Schizosaccharomyces pombe: one gene and its partners. Each later gene encodes a partner of the first gene's protein in a complex. Each region holds a gene or a part of one and is shown in the gene's direction. Other genes may lie near its edges.

What was found. Proteins that work in one complex are often made in the same cells at the same time.
Region 2: the proteins of cox3 (region 1) and cox13 are in contact, whole or in part, in a cryo-EM structure (PDB 8C8Q), measured with the Schizosaccharomyces pombe proteins. Residues at the interface, in YP_011104931.1 of Schizosaccharomyces pombe: Tyr38 (codon at 1,719), His40 (codon at 1,725), Glu117 (codon at 1,956), Pro124 (codon at 1,977), Val125 (codon at 1,980), Gly126 (codon at 1,983), Ile127 (codon at 1,986), Leu135 (codon at 2,010), Glu136 (codon at 2,013), Leu139 (codon at 2,022), Leu140 (codon at 2,025), Val143 (codon at 2,034), Ile144 (codon at 2,037), Thr147 (codon at 2,046), Ala150 (codon at 2,055), Ser151 (codon at 2,058), Thr153 (codon at 2,064), Tyr154 (codon at 2,067), Tyr157 (codon at 2,076), Ser158 (codon at 2,079), Ile160 (codon at 2,085), Ala161 (codon at 2,088), Arg162 (codon at 2,091), Met173 (codon at 2,124), Tyr189 (codon at 2,172), Trp190 (codon at 2,175), Ala192 (codon at 2,181), Pro193 (codon at 2,184), Phe194 (codon at 2,187), Thr195 (codon at 2,190); in NP_588417.1 of Schizosaccharomyces pombe: Glu46 (codon at 1,839), Glu47 (codon at 1,842), Ala50 (codon at 1,851), Lys51 (codon at 1,854), Ser53 (codon at 1,860), Ser54 (codon at 1,863), Trp57 (codon at 1,920), Lys58 (codon at 1,923), Thr61 (codon at 1,932), Tyr62 (codon at 1,935), Gly65 (codon at 1,994), Leu69 (codon at 2,006), Ala72 (codon at 2,015), Ser73 (codon at 2,018), Asn75 (codon at 2,024), Ala76 (codon at 2,027), Ile79 (codon at 2,036), Tyr80 (codon at 2,039), Tyr97 (codon at 2,138), Phe99 (codon at 2,196), Glu100 (codon at 2,199), Asn101 (codon at 2,202), Leu102 (codon at 2,205), Arg103 (codon at 2,208), Lys105 (codon at 2,214), Tyr107 (codon at 2,220), Pro108 (codon at 2,223), Trp109 (codon at 2,226), Thr115 (codon at 2,244), Phe117 (codon at 2,250).
Region 3: the proteins of cox3 (region 1) and cox4 are in contact, whole or in part, in a cryo-EM structure (PDB 8C8Q), measured with the Schizosaccharomyces pombe proteins. Residues at the interface, in YP_011104931.1 of Schizosaccharomyces pombe: Leu3 (codon at 1,614), Ser4 (codon at 1,617), Thr5 (codon at 1,620), Lys6 (codon at 1,623), Phe7 (codon at 1,626), Gln8 (codon at 1,629), Gly9 (codon at 1,632), His10 (codon at 1,635), Pro11 (codon at 1,638), Ile73 (codon at 1,824), His74 (codon at 1,827), Gly75 (codon at 1,830), His77 (codon at 1,836), Thr78 (codon at 1,839), Lys79 (codon at 1,842), Leu159 (codon at 2,082), Arg162 (codon at 2,091), Arg164 (codon at 2,097), Tyr233 (codon at 2,304), His234 (codon at 2,307), Leu235 (codon at 2,310), Thr236 (codon at 2,313), Asn237 (codon at 2,316), Thr238 (codon at 2,319), His239 (codon at 2,322); in NP_593042.1 of Schizosaccharomyces pombe: Ala49 (codon at 2,522), Lys50 (codon at 2,525), Pro52 (codon at 2,531), Leu55 (codon at 2,540), Arg61 (codon at 2,558), Asp62 (codon at 2,561), Gly63 (codon at 2,564), Glu64 (codon at 2,567), Val65 (codon at 2,570), Pro66 (codon at 2,573), Thr67 (codon at 2,576), Asp68 (codon at 2,579), Glu70 (codon at 2,585), Gln71 (codon at 2,588), Thr73 (codon at 2,594), Gly74 (codon at 2,597), Leu75 (codon at 2,600), Glu76 (codon at 2,603), Tyr78 (codon at 2,609), Glu79 (codon at 2,612), Glu83 (codon at 2,624), Phe90 (codon at 2,645), Met92 (codon at 2,651), Asp157 (codon at 2,846).

What each region holds. Positions count from the first base shown.
Region 1 is NC_088682.1:7,354-10,306, forward strand, and holds cox3 (cytochrome oxidase subunit 3), read left to right. Parts: upstream 1-1,607; coding exon 1,608-2,417; downstream 2,418-2,953. Other genes in the region: cox1 (cytochrome oxidase subunit 1), read left to right, coding at 572-1,439; cob (apocytochrome b), read left to right, coding at 2,822-2,953.
Region 2 is NC_003421.2:2,045,848-2,049,038, reverse strand, and holds cox13 (cytochrome c oxidase subunit VIa), read left to right. Parts: upstream 1-1,651; 5' UTR 1,652-1,703; coding exon 1,704-1,866; intron 1,867-1,914; coding exon 1,915-1,939; intron 1,940-1,989; coding exon 1,990-2,039; intron 2,040-2,087; coding exon 2,088-2,142; intron 2,143-2,194; coding exon 2,195-2,254; intron 2,255-2,338; coding exon 2,339-2,378; 3' UTR 2,379-2,627; downstream 2,628-3,191. Other genes in the region: protein mug33, read right to left, coding at 93-1,103. UniProt on the Schizosaccharomyces pombe protein: Component of the cytochrome c oxidase, the last enzyme in the mitochondrial electron transport chain which drives oxidative phosphorylation.
Region 3 is NC_003424.3:709,279-712,918, forward strand, and holds cox4 (cytochrome c oxidase subunit IV), read left to right. Parts: upstream 1-1,956; 5' UTR 1,957-2,022; coding exon 2,023-2,134; exon of another isoform or gene 2,135-2,440; intron 2,441-2,489; coding exon 2,490-2,872; 3' UTR 2,873-3,076; downstream 3,077-3,640. Other genes in the region: SPOM_SPAC1296.01C (phosphoacetylglucosamine mutase), read right to left, coding at 1-61, 150-366, 467-552, 618-745; serine carboxypeptidase Sxa2, read right to left, coding at 3,213-3,640. UniProt on the Schizosaccharomyces pombe protein: Component of the cytochrome c oxidase, the last enzyme in the mitochondrial electron transport chain which drives oxidative phosphorylation.

The sequences.
Region 1 (2,953 bases):
TAATAATATATTTGCTCATCCTAGATTTAAAGAATTTAGTAAAACTATTACTTTAGGTTTAAATTCAAATAATAATTTAAATAATCATTGGCTAGCTGGATTCTCAGATGCTGATGCTAGTTTTCAGATTAAAATTTTAAATAGGGACAAAAAAATAGAAGTTCGATTGAACTATCAAATAGATCAAAAAAAAGAGTATCTTTTGAGTTTAATTAAAGATAATTTAGGTGGTAATATAGGCTATCGAAAAAGTCAAGATACTTATTATTATGGTTCTACTAGTTTTGGTTCAGCTAAAAAAGTTATTAATTATTTTGATAATTATCATTTGCTATCTTCTAAATATATTAGCTATTTAAAATGAAGAAAAGCTTATCTTATTATTCAAGAAAATAAACATTTAACAGAATCAGGACTTTCTCAAATAAAAAAACCTCATCCCTATCGGAAGAATATTAATTAGATTTGTTGAGATTTAAAATAAAGTCCTAACAAGGGTATAAAGCTTTTGAGTGTTAAAAAGAATAAATCACCTTTTGGGTGATTTTTTTTCATTAACCAAAATTTATTGTTATATTTTAATTATGCCAGCTTTCGGTGTTGTTAGTCACATTATTCCTAGTTTAGCTCATAAACCTATTTTCGGTAAAGAAGGTATGCTTTGGGCTATGTTAAGTATTGCTTTATTAGGATTAATGGTATGGTCTCATCACTTATTCACAGTTGGTTTAGATGTTGATACTAGAGCTTATTTCAGTGCTGCAACTATGGTTATTGCAATTCCAACAGGTATTAAAATCTTCAGTTGGTTAGCTACTTTAACAGGTGGTGCAATACAATGGTCAAGAGTACCTATGTTATATGCTATTGGTTTCTTAATCTTATTCACAATTGGTGGATTAACAGGTGTTATATTAAGTAATTCAGTATTAGATATCGCTTTCCATGATACTTATTTCGTTGTAGCTCACTTCCATTACGTTCTGTCAATGGGTGCATTATTTGGTCTTTGTGGTGCATACTACTATTGGAGTCCAAAAATGTTTGGATTAATGTACAATGAAACTCTAGCTTCAATCCAATTCTGGATTTTATTCATAGGTGTTAATATTGTATTCGGTCCTCAACATTTCTTAGGATTAAATGGTATGCCTAGAAGAATACCAGATTATCCAGATGCATTTGTGGGATGGAATTTTGTATCAAGTATTGGTTCAGTAATTTCTATTCTTTCATTATTCCTATTTATGTATGTTATGTATGATCAATTTACATCAAATAGAGTGGTTAAAACAAATCCTTATTTAATCCCTAGCTATTTTGATGATAATGTAATCTTCGTAAATGAAAAATTAGGGGTAGCTCAATCAATAGAATGGTTACTACATTCACCAGTACACGAACACGCATTTAATACATTACCTACAAAAAGTATTTAATTTAAAATCTTAACCCCCCTTTTATTTTATAAACTTTATTCCAATTTAAAAATTGGAGAGGGAGATTGAAGGATAATTTAGCTATCCTATTCAAAATTGTATCTTTATAATTTTTTTATTCCTTATATGTGAGAGAACACTATTGAGATAAACTAATTTAGCTTAAACATGAATCTTTCTACTAAATTTCAAGGACATCCTTATCATATTGTAAGTGCGTCACCTTGGCCATTTTTCTTATCTGTAGTATTATTCTTTAACTGTTTAGCAGCTACATTATATTTACATGGATACAAACATTCATCAGTATTCTTTGGAATCAGTTTCTTAGGTTTATTAGCAACTATGTATTTATGGTTTAGAGATATGTCAACTGAAGCTAATATTCATGGTGCACATACAAAAGCAGTAACAAAAGGATTAAAAATAGGATTTATGTTATTCCTAATTTCTGAAACTTTCTTATTTGCTTCTATTTTCTGGGCTTTCTTCCATAGTTCATTATCACCTACTTTTGAATTAGGTGCAGTATGGCCACCAGTAGGAATAGCAGATAAAACAATAGATCCATTAGAAGTCCCTCTATTAAATACAGTAATTTTATTAACTTCTGGTGCTAGTTTAACTTATGCTCATTATTCATTAATTGCTAGAAATAGAGAAAATGCTTTAAAAGGTTTATATATGACTATCGCTTTATCATTCTTATTCTTAGGAGGTCAAGCTTATGAATACTGGAATGCTCCATTCACTATTTCAGATTCTGTTTATGGTGCTAGTTTCTATTTTGCTACTGGTCTTCATGGTATTCATATTATTGTTGGTACAATTCTACTTCTTGTTGCTACTTATAATATTTATACTTACCACTTAACTAATACTCATCATAATGGATTTGAATGTGGTATTTATTATTGGCATTTCTGTGATGTTGTTTGGTTATTCCTTTATTTAACTATTTATATTTGGGGTAGCTAAGGCTTACTTCAATTTTTCCCCCCTTTTTATATCTTATTTCTCTAAAATAGTCTGTATAGCTCAATGGTAGAGCATCTCACTTCTAATGAGTCGATCTAAGTTCGATTCTTAGTACAGATTCCACACCTAGAAGGTGTGTATTTTTTTTTTAGCTAATTTAACTCAATTGGTAGAGTGCGTACCTTGTAAGTACGAAGTTAGAGGTTCAATTCCTCTAATTAGCAATCCCTTTCCCATATTTTTGGTATAAGAGGATCTCAGATAGTATCTAACCTATCTTATCTTTTATTATCCAATATCCTTTTAATAAGATTTGGATCTTTTTTCCCAATTCCTTCAAATTTTTGACTATTTATCGATAATGATTGTTCAATTTAGAAGGGATAATTTCAAATTTAATTTTTATGAAAATTTTAAAATCTAATCCTTTTTTAGCTTTGGCTAATAATTATATGATTGATGCTCCTGAACCTTCAAATATTTCATACTTCTGGAATTTTGGTTCTCTTTTAGCTTGTGTATTAGTTATTCAAATT
Region 2 (3,191 bases), on another chromosome or scaffold:
TAAAGGGGGGACGGTTAAAAAATGCTTTGAAAGTGAAATTAGAAAACATGTAGAGATGATAAATGATAGATAAAACTCGATTGGTCGATAATTTACGAGCGGCCCCATGAAAATCTGCTGGGCTTCTTGTCGTTATTGGCTTGAACATCATTAATCGACCATGGATTTGGAGCTGGAGCTGAAGCGGGATCTTTAAAGGGATTTTCAGGATCTCTAAACGGATTTTCAGGAGCCTGTTCTGCAGGCTTATTGCGCATAAACGGAAAGCGGAAGCCCGAGTTAGATTTCGGAACGGGAACGGGCTCACGAACAGTTGGGGCATAGGAAGACAGAGAACGACTATCGTTGCTAAAAGTAGGCTTCAATTTTGAGACAGAGCCTCCACGCTTGAGACCATCATCCTCGGAAATGGTATCGTACATAGGCTTTTCGGCAGAATAATCGCTGAATTTGGGAAGGTCTCCCTTGCGAGAAGAAGTAGAAAAGATATTGCTGCTGTTTTGCAAAGAGTACGGATTGTAACCCAAGCTGCCAGAGGTGGCGCGACGAAGATGCTTGGCCTGTAACCTTGTGGCTTGTCTGCGTGCAACAAGGAGTAAAAGCAAGACGATGAGTTGAATGCCGACATTGGCGAGCACAAGCCATGACGGCCATTGAATATGGGGGACAAAAGTGATGACACAGATAACGAAAGCAATGGCGGTGATAAAAATGTTAAAGAATGTTATGGTTCCAATGACATTGAAGAAGCCGGGAGAGCGGGCAATGGCACCAATGTGGGCGAATATAGTCATAATGGTGGATATGAGACAGATGCAGGCAGACACGGGAACAATCACCAAGCCGTAGGAAGCTCTTTGACGCACAATAACGGAGGTACGAAATCCGTCCTTTGCATGTTCATCAAGGTAATCCGAGTTGTAACCAACTAAAGGCTTGCTGCAATTTGAATTTAAGCAGTAACCGAAAACGCCAAATCTAACGTCTCCATACTTTCCTAAAGTAAGATTGTTTGCAAGAGGAGGAGTACATATAGCTAAGACGAAAAAGACAATGGCGATAACCAGTAAGATAAGGGAAGGAGTAGCACTACGAATCCGCATTTTTTAAAAAAAAGCGGAAAAGCTTTGGAGGGTGATTTGAGAGAGTAGTTTTTGAGCTTTTGCTAGCTACCAACAAAGTTCAACTTTGCACGGTTAGGATTTAAAGATTTCCTTTTTGTTCCTCTACAGCGAGAAACGATCAAAAAAGAGATGAAATCCGAGGGGAAGGCAGAAGTTGAGAAAGGGCAATTTGGTACGTAGCAATGAACGAAAAGGCTCTCAATTCGACTAAAAGTGTTTAAATTACCAATTCCTAATATGGAAAAAAGAAATAATTTGTCCTTGAAGTCGCTTTTATGTATTTGGCGGAAAGGCGATTTTTGGTGGTGAGATATGATGAGGTTTTTGTTGTTGGTTGTGGTTGAGTTAAACGTTGTTTGACTTCATTCCCCCTTTGCGCCACACTTCAGTAGTACGGTACGCTACGCAACTGAACGCTAAACATTGCTAAGGTAAATTTGTACCGAGGTAGAAGAATGCACACGGTGCGTTACTACAGTATATGGGTAGAATTACGAAGGTACGGGAGGAGCAGAATGTTCACAAGCAACAACTCCCATCTCCTTGAAAACATCGTAAAAAAGCGAATTTGTTAGTGTAATGAGCATGATGAATCGTAACATTGGCTTCCTATCCAGAACATTGAAGACGAGCGTTCCTAAGAGAGCGGGTTTGCTCAGCTTTCGAGCTTATAGTAACGAAGCAAAGGTGAACTGGCTTGAAGAGGTTCAAGCAGAAGAGGAGCATGCAAAGCGTAGCAGTGGTATGTGAATTGTGGGAATAGAAATTTATCTTACTAACGGGTTTATAGAATTCTGGAAGAAAGTGACTTATTAGTATGAACATGAGGAAGTGAAGAATTTGTGTGGTAGCTAACATTTGCCAGCATTGGTGGACCAGCATTGATATTGGCTAGTGCCAATGCGTATTATATTTGTACGTAAAAGTGTAATGTGAAGATTTGCAACGACTAACAAGAGATAGATTGCAAGCATCAAGAGCATGCCAAGCATGTTGAAGATACGGACCCTGGTTATAGGTATGAAGAAGATAGAGAAGAAATGAAAGGAAGGGACTAATGAATGGTTTAGCTTTGAAAATTTGCGCTTCAAAAAGTATCCATGGGGAGACGGTAGCAAGACACTTTTCTGGTAAGATGAGAATGAGAGAGAAGAGAGGAAAGAAGGGAGAGATTATGTTTGTATGAGACAAGGAAATTTACTAATGATATACAGGAATGATAAAGTCAATCATTTAAAGAAGGATGATGAATAGGCATAGCGTTCTTTAAGCCTTTTTGCACGACTCAATTAACCCCCATACCATGTAGCAAGCAAAGAAGAACGAATAAGGTGTTGGAGGGATGCATAACGGAAAGTGTGTTTTTAGCAATGCTAAAAGGTAATAGTGAGACCATACGGGTTTGTATTGCCAATAGCTGTTTTCTTATCAATAGTGACTTTCAGCATTGGATTCGTTATTTGTTTAGCGACGTACAGTGAATAATCATTGATTTCTGAAAAAGCAGAAAAGAGAGATGAGGTAGTTGAAGGAGGATATGGAGACAGTTGCATACTATGTAAACAAAATGAATAAGTGATGAGACTGAAAGTTGGCATGCGAAAAAGAGAACGAATATATATACAAATCATTAATATGCTACAAGTAGTTCACAGTCTGTTTCTATCCTTTTGACTTTTTTATTTTTACTGTTTAAAATTATATTTTGCATTAGTATATATGTAACATTAAGATTATAAGGAATTATTAATCTCAAGATAATAATGAGTTTTGTAGGAGTGTTTTTCAAGGAAGAAACGTATTCAAGGAAATGGAAAAGTGTTTACAAAGCTATAACATATTGTATTTGAAAAAAGTTTTATTTTGATTAACTGGGATCGTAACTAGAATGTGAAAATGTTTCTAGTGTAGAGACATAATATAATAAGAAAAGGACTTGAAAAATAGCGGATGCGAGCGTTACCTAACGAGAGTGGGCAACATGGTAAAAGGGAAAAGGAAGGAGAAGAAAAATGGTGCAGCGAGCAAATAATCCAAAGGCACCTAATATGACTATGAGTGGTAGCG
Region 3 (3,640 bases), on another chromosome or scaffold:
CTTTGCTTTGCAGACCACAATACCGTCAATTACAGCTTGCGCAAGGATTTCTGAAGTAGACCTAAGTATTAGATGTTAGTCTTGGACATAAGATTTAAAAAAGCGGAGAAATTAAGTGATCTAATATCGACAATAAAAGTAAAACAAACCTTGAGTCATAGCCAACAAACACCCGAGCTTCAGAACCGGGAATAATCTTTGCCTTTTTCAAAATTGAAGTTAAACAAACCGTTAATTCGTCAGCGGAATCCGCATTTACTACTTGATCCAGGTATGCTTCCCATTTGCTAGAATCCAGGCTACTCAAAATGTTTACGATCTTTAACCCGTTTTCGGAAGAGGCGTTGTGCGAGGCAGTCACCATAACTAAGATTGTTAGTAAGTAAACTCAAAGAAATACAAAGGAACAAGATGGATATCAATATGTAAATGAATCATCTCGCAATAATAAAAGTATGTGTCTTACGTCCAACAGGTTGTCCATGCAATTTGGCTGACAAAAAGCTGGCGATTACGCCTGTGCGAAAAGCAACACTCGAAAGCAGCTCAGCGCTATAAATAAAATGTTAATAATTTCCATTTAAACTAAAAGTAAGTTTCTTTTTTTATCAACGTACTCAGCGCGATATCCTCCAGTACCATACTGCATGGGATAAGAATGCACTTTGGCAAACTTATCGGATTCTCGAACAATTGCCGTTACAAATTCATTTACAATCGAATCGCTGTCTTCAGCATCAGACATAGTGGGGAAAATATCGATACAGAAGTCTGACGATCCTTTGTAAAAAAAACTTGTTAAAGTATCGAAACTATGAATGGAAGAAGAACGAAGTCACTTAAGCCTAAGCTTCGAGAAAACAGGTTGACCTCAAAGCTCTCTTAATAAAAAAGTACACTTAAGAAGTTAAGAGATATGACTTTGTGTTCTCAAGATATATTCGAGTCCCGAATAAGCACTGGATTGCTACTAAGTTGATGCCAAACGCGTCAACTATCACCAAACTATGGCAATTTAAATATCGCGGAATAATGAACTGCGTAATACATATTCGTTATTAGAAGGAAATTTGGGAATAGTTTAACGTCTACGAAGTTAATAAAAGCTTCACATATTTCCTCTTTCTTTATTACATAAATATTTATCAATTTGGTTTTCATCGCTTGGGTTATGTTCGAAGTTGCTAAATAAACAACTTAGTTGGTTGACTCAATAGTTAACTCTGTAAATTAGCTACAAAATAGCAGAAAGACACCTCAACGTTTTTTACAATTATTATGAAAAGCTATGAAATTTAATGTGAATAAACTAGATGAAAAGAAACGACTAAATGAACCAACGAAAAGGTATTAAAAAATAGTATTTCGTATTAGATTTAATTGATTAACACAATGTGGTCAGTAATATACAGAGAATGTATGCATGTTTGCTTTAAACAATAGAACAAACGGATTGTAATAATTGAGAGGACAAGATCGAAAATGAACGACCTGAAAATCGTTCATCACTAGGGAATTTATTTCTTTCGGTCATATTGCTTTTAAAATAATTAATATTCCCGAGGCAAACATGATACATTAAACCTCTAGTTCATAAAGAGTTGTATAAGAAATGAGTAAACAAAACAATTTAAGTCAATTTCTTCCAGGGTATAGCTCATGAACCTTAAAAAACACAAACAATCAGTAGAAATATAGCAATGATCCCTTTAATTATAACACTCAGATATGTTTAGCAAGTTATGAGCACCGATAGTCAATCAAGAAAAGGACATCTCATACTACTCGTTTTTTATACAATATAATTAAGGCAATAGTAATATTGGAACTTCCCCATTATCATCTTATTCGTAACTGTTTAAGAAATAATTCCGTTTTTTGTTAACCTTCTCATCTTTTTTTCTGTTGTAGCTTGCTGTCCTACCAAATTTCGTTACACAATACCGGACCAACGTTGGAAACTACACAACACCCCATCTCACCCATTATCAGGTTATAAATCATCAATAATTGTCTTTTAAGATGTTTATGAATTCTATGCTTCGTGTCTCCAGACAAAGAGCAGCGGTCAGGAGTACTGTTTCTCTGTACCGTGGCTTTGTTTCTGCTTCAATCCGCCGTAATGAGCAAAACGGTAAGTCCTTTGAAAGCTTAGTAAAGTTTGTCATAGCAGCTTAATGGTTAAAGCTTGTTTAGTACTGGCTATAGGAGTAAAGCTTCCGTTGACTCTTGATCTCCGATGTACAGTTTTGCTATTAATTATATATCGGAAGTTAGGCTTGTGTGCCCATTCATTCTTTTCTATATTTTACAGACCTAAAAAGTAATCAAAAGAATGAAAATCGACGTTGCCTATAGCCCACTCTCTTAAAACGCTTTCTATTTCATCTATTAAGTCGCTTAGTAGATATGACTTGTTAATTTGTGCTGCCGATACATTTTAGGGCTTTTTAGCTTAATTTTTATCTCCTTCACTAACATTCTTTTAGTTGTAAAAGCCGCCGCTCAAGAATTAGCCAACGCTAAGGAACCTTCTGATTTGATCGGACCTGGTGGTCGTGACGGCGAGGTTCCAACTGATTTGGAGCAAGCCACTGGTTTGGAACGATATGAACTTTTATCAGAGCTTTCAGGGAGAGATGCATTTGATATGAAACCGTTGGATGCTTCTCGTAAAGGCACATTGACGGATCCTATAATGGTCACTTCTCTTGATCCTTACCGTCATATTGGCTGTACTGGTAGTCCTTCTGGTTCACATAATTTAATTTGGATGACTGTCTACAAAGACAAACTCCGCCGTTGTCCTGAATGCGGATCTGTATACAAATTAAAATTCATGGGAGATCCCAACGCTGAACACAGTCATTAGTATGCTTACCAATCTTCCATATCCCCTTGCTATTTTCATACTCTTTTATAACAATTTAGCTCTTTTATTTGAACTTTGAAAAATCAATGAAAACTGTATGCTGATCTATTTCTTATTTTGGGAACGATTCGATTATTCGTAAACGTATATCTTATAAATAATTCTATCTATTCAACCATATCTTAGTTGTTAATTCAAGCACCATTCTTTTTTTCTTGTAGTCATGCGGAAATATGATCTAATTATCGTTCCGAGTTTCATAAACGATAGTTATTTATTGATATACCACATCAGTGGTAAGTCAATAAACTTGTATTTTAAATTTTCCGATATTAAACTTTTAATAAAGCAACGTATTTTCAAGCCATTCTCTAACCATTTGAGGGTCTTTAGATGGAGCCATGTGCCCAACCGAGTTGGACAATGTAAAGGCTAAGTTACGTTCATCCAAAGTAAATCCATTAGTTGTCTCTAAACTTCCAGGAGATTGAGTGAATCCCTGCCATCCATTCCATGTTGTATTTTGCAATGCCAAAAGAGTTCCGGTCCAAAGAATTTGAAGATCCAATGCCCCAGCTAAGAAAGACACTTTGTATTTTTCTGTTAAGCGTGGAATTATTTCAACGAGAACTGATTCTACGTTGTTACTCACAATCTTTTTGTATAAGTCAAAATTGCATCCGTCTGCGAAGACACCCTCGCCGCTTGTCAACGCAGTTGAAGCTTTCGTAGCATGTAAAGAAGAGCGAACATCTTCTCTGTTCAGGT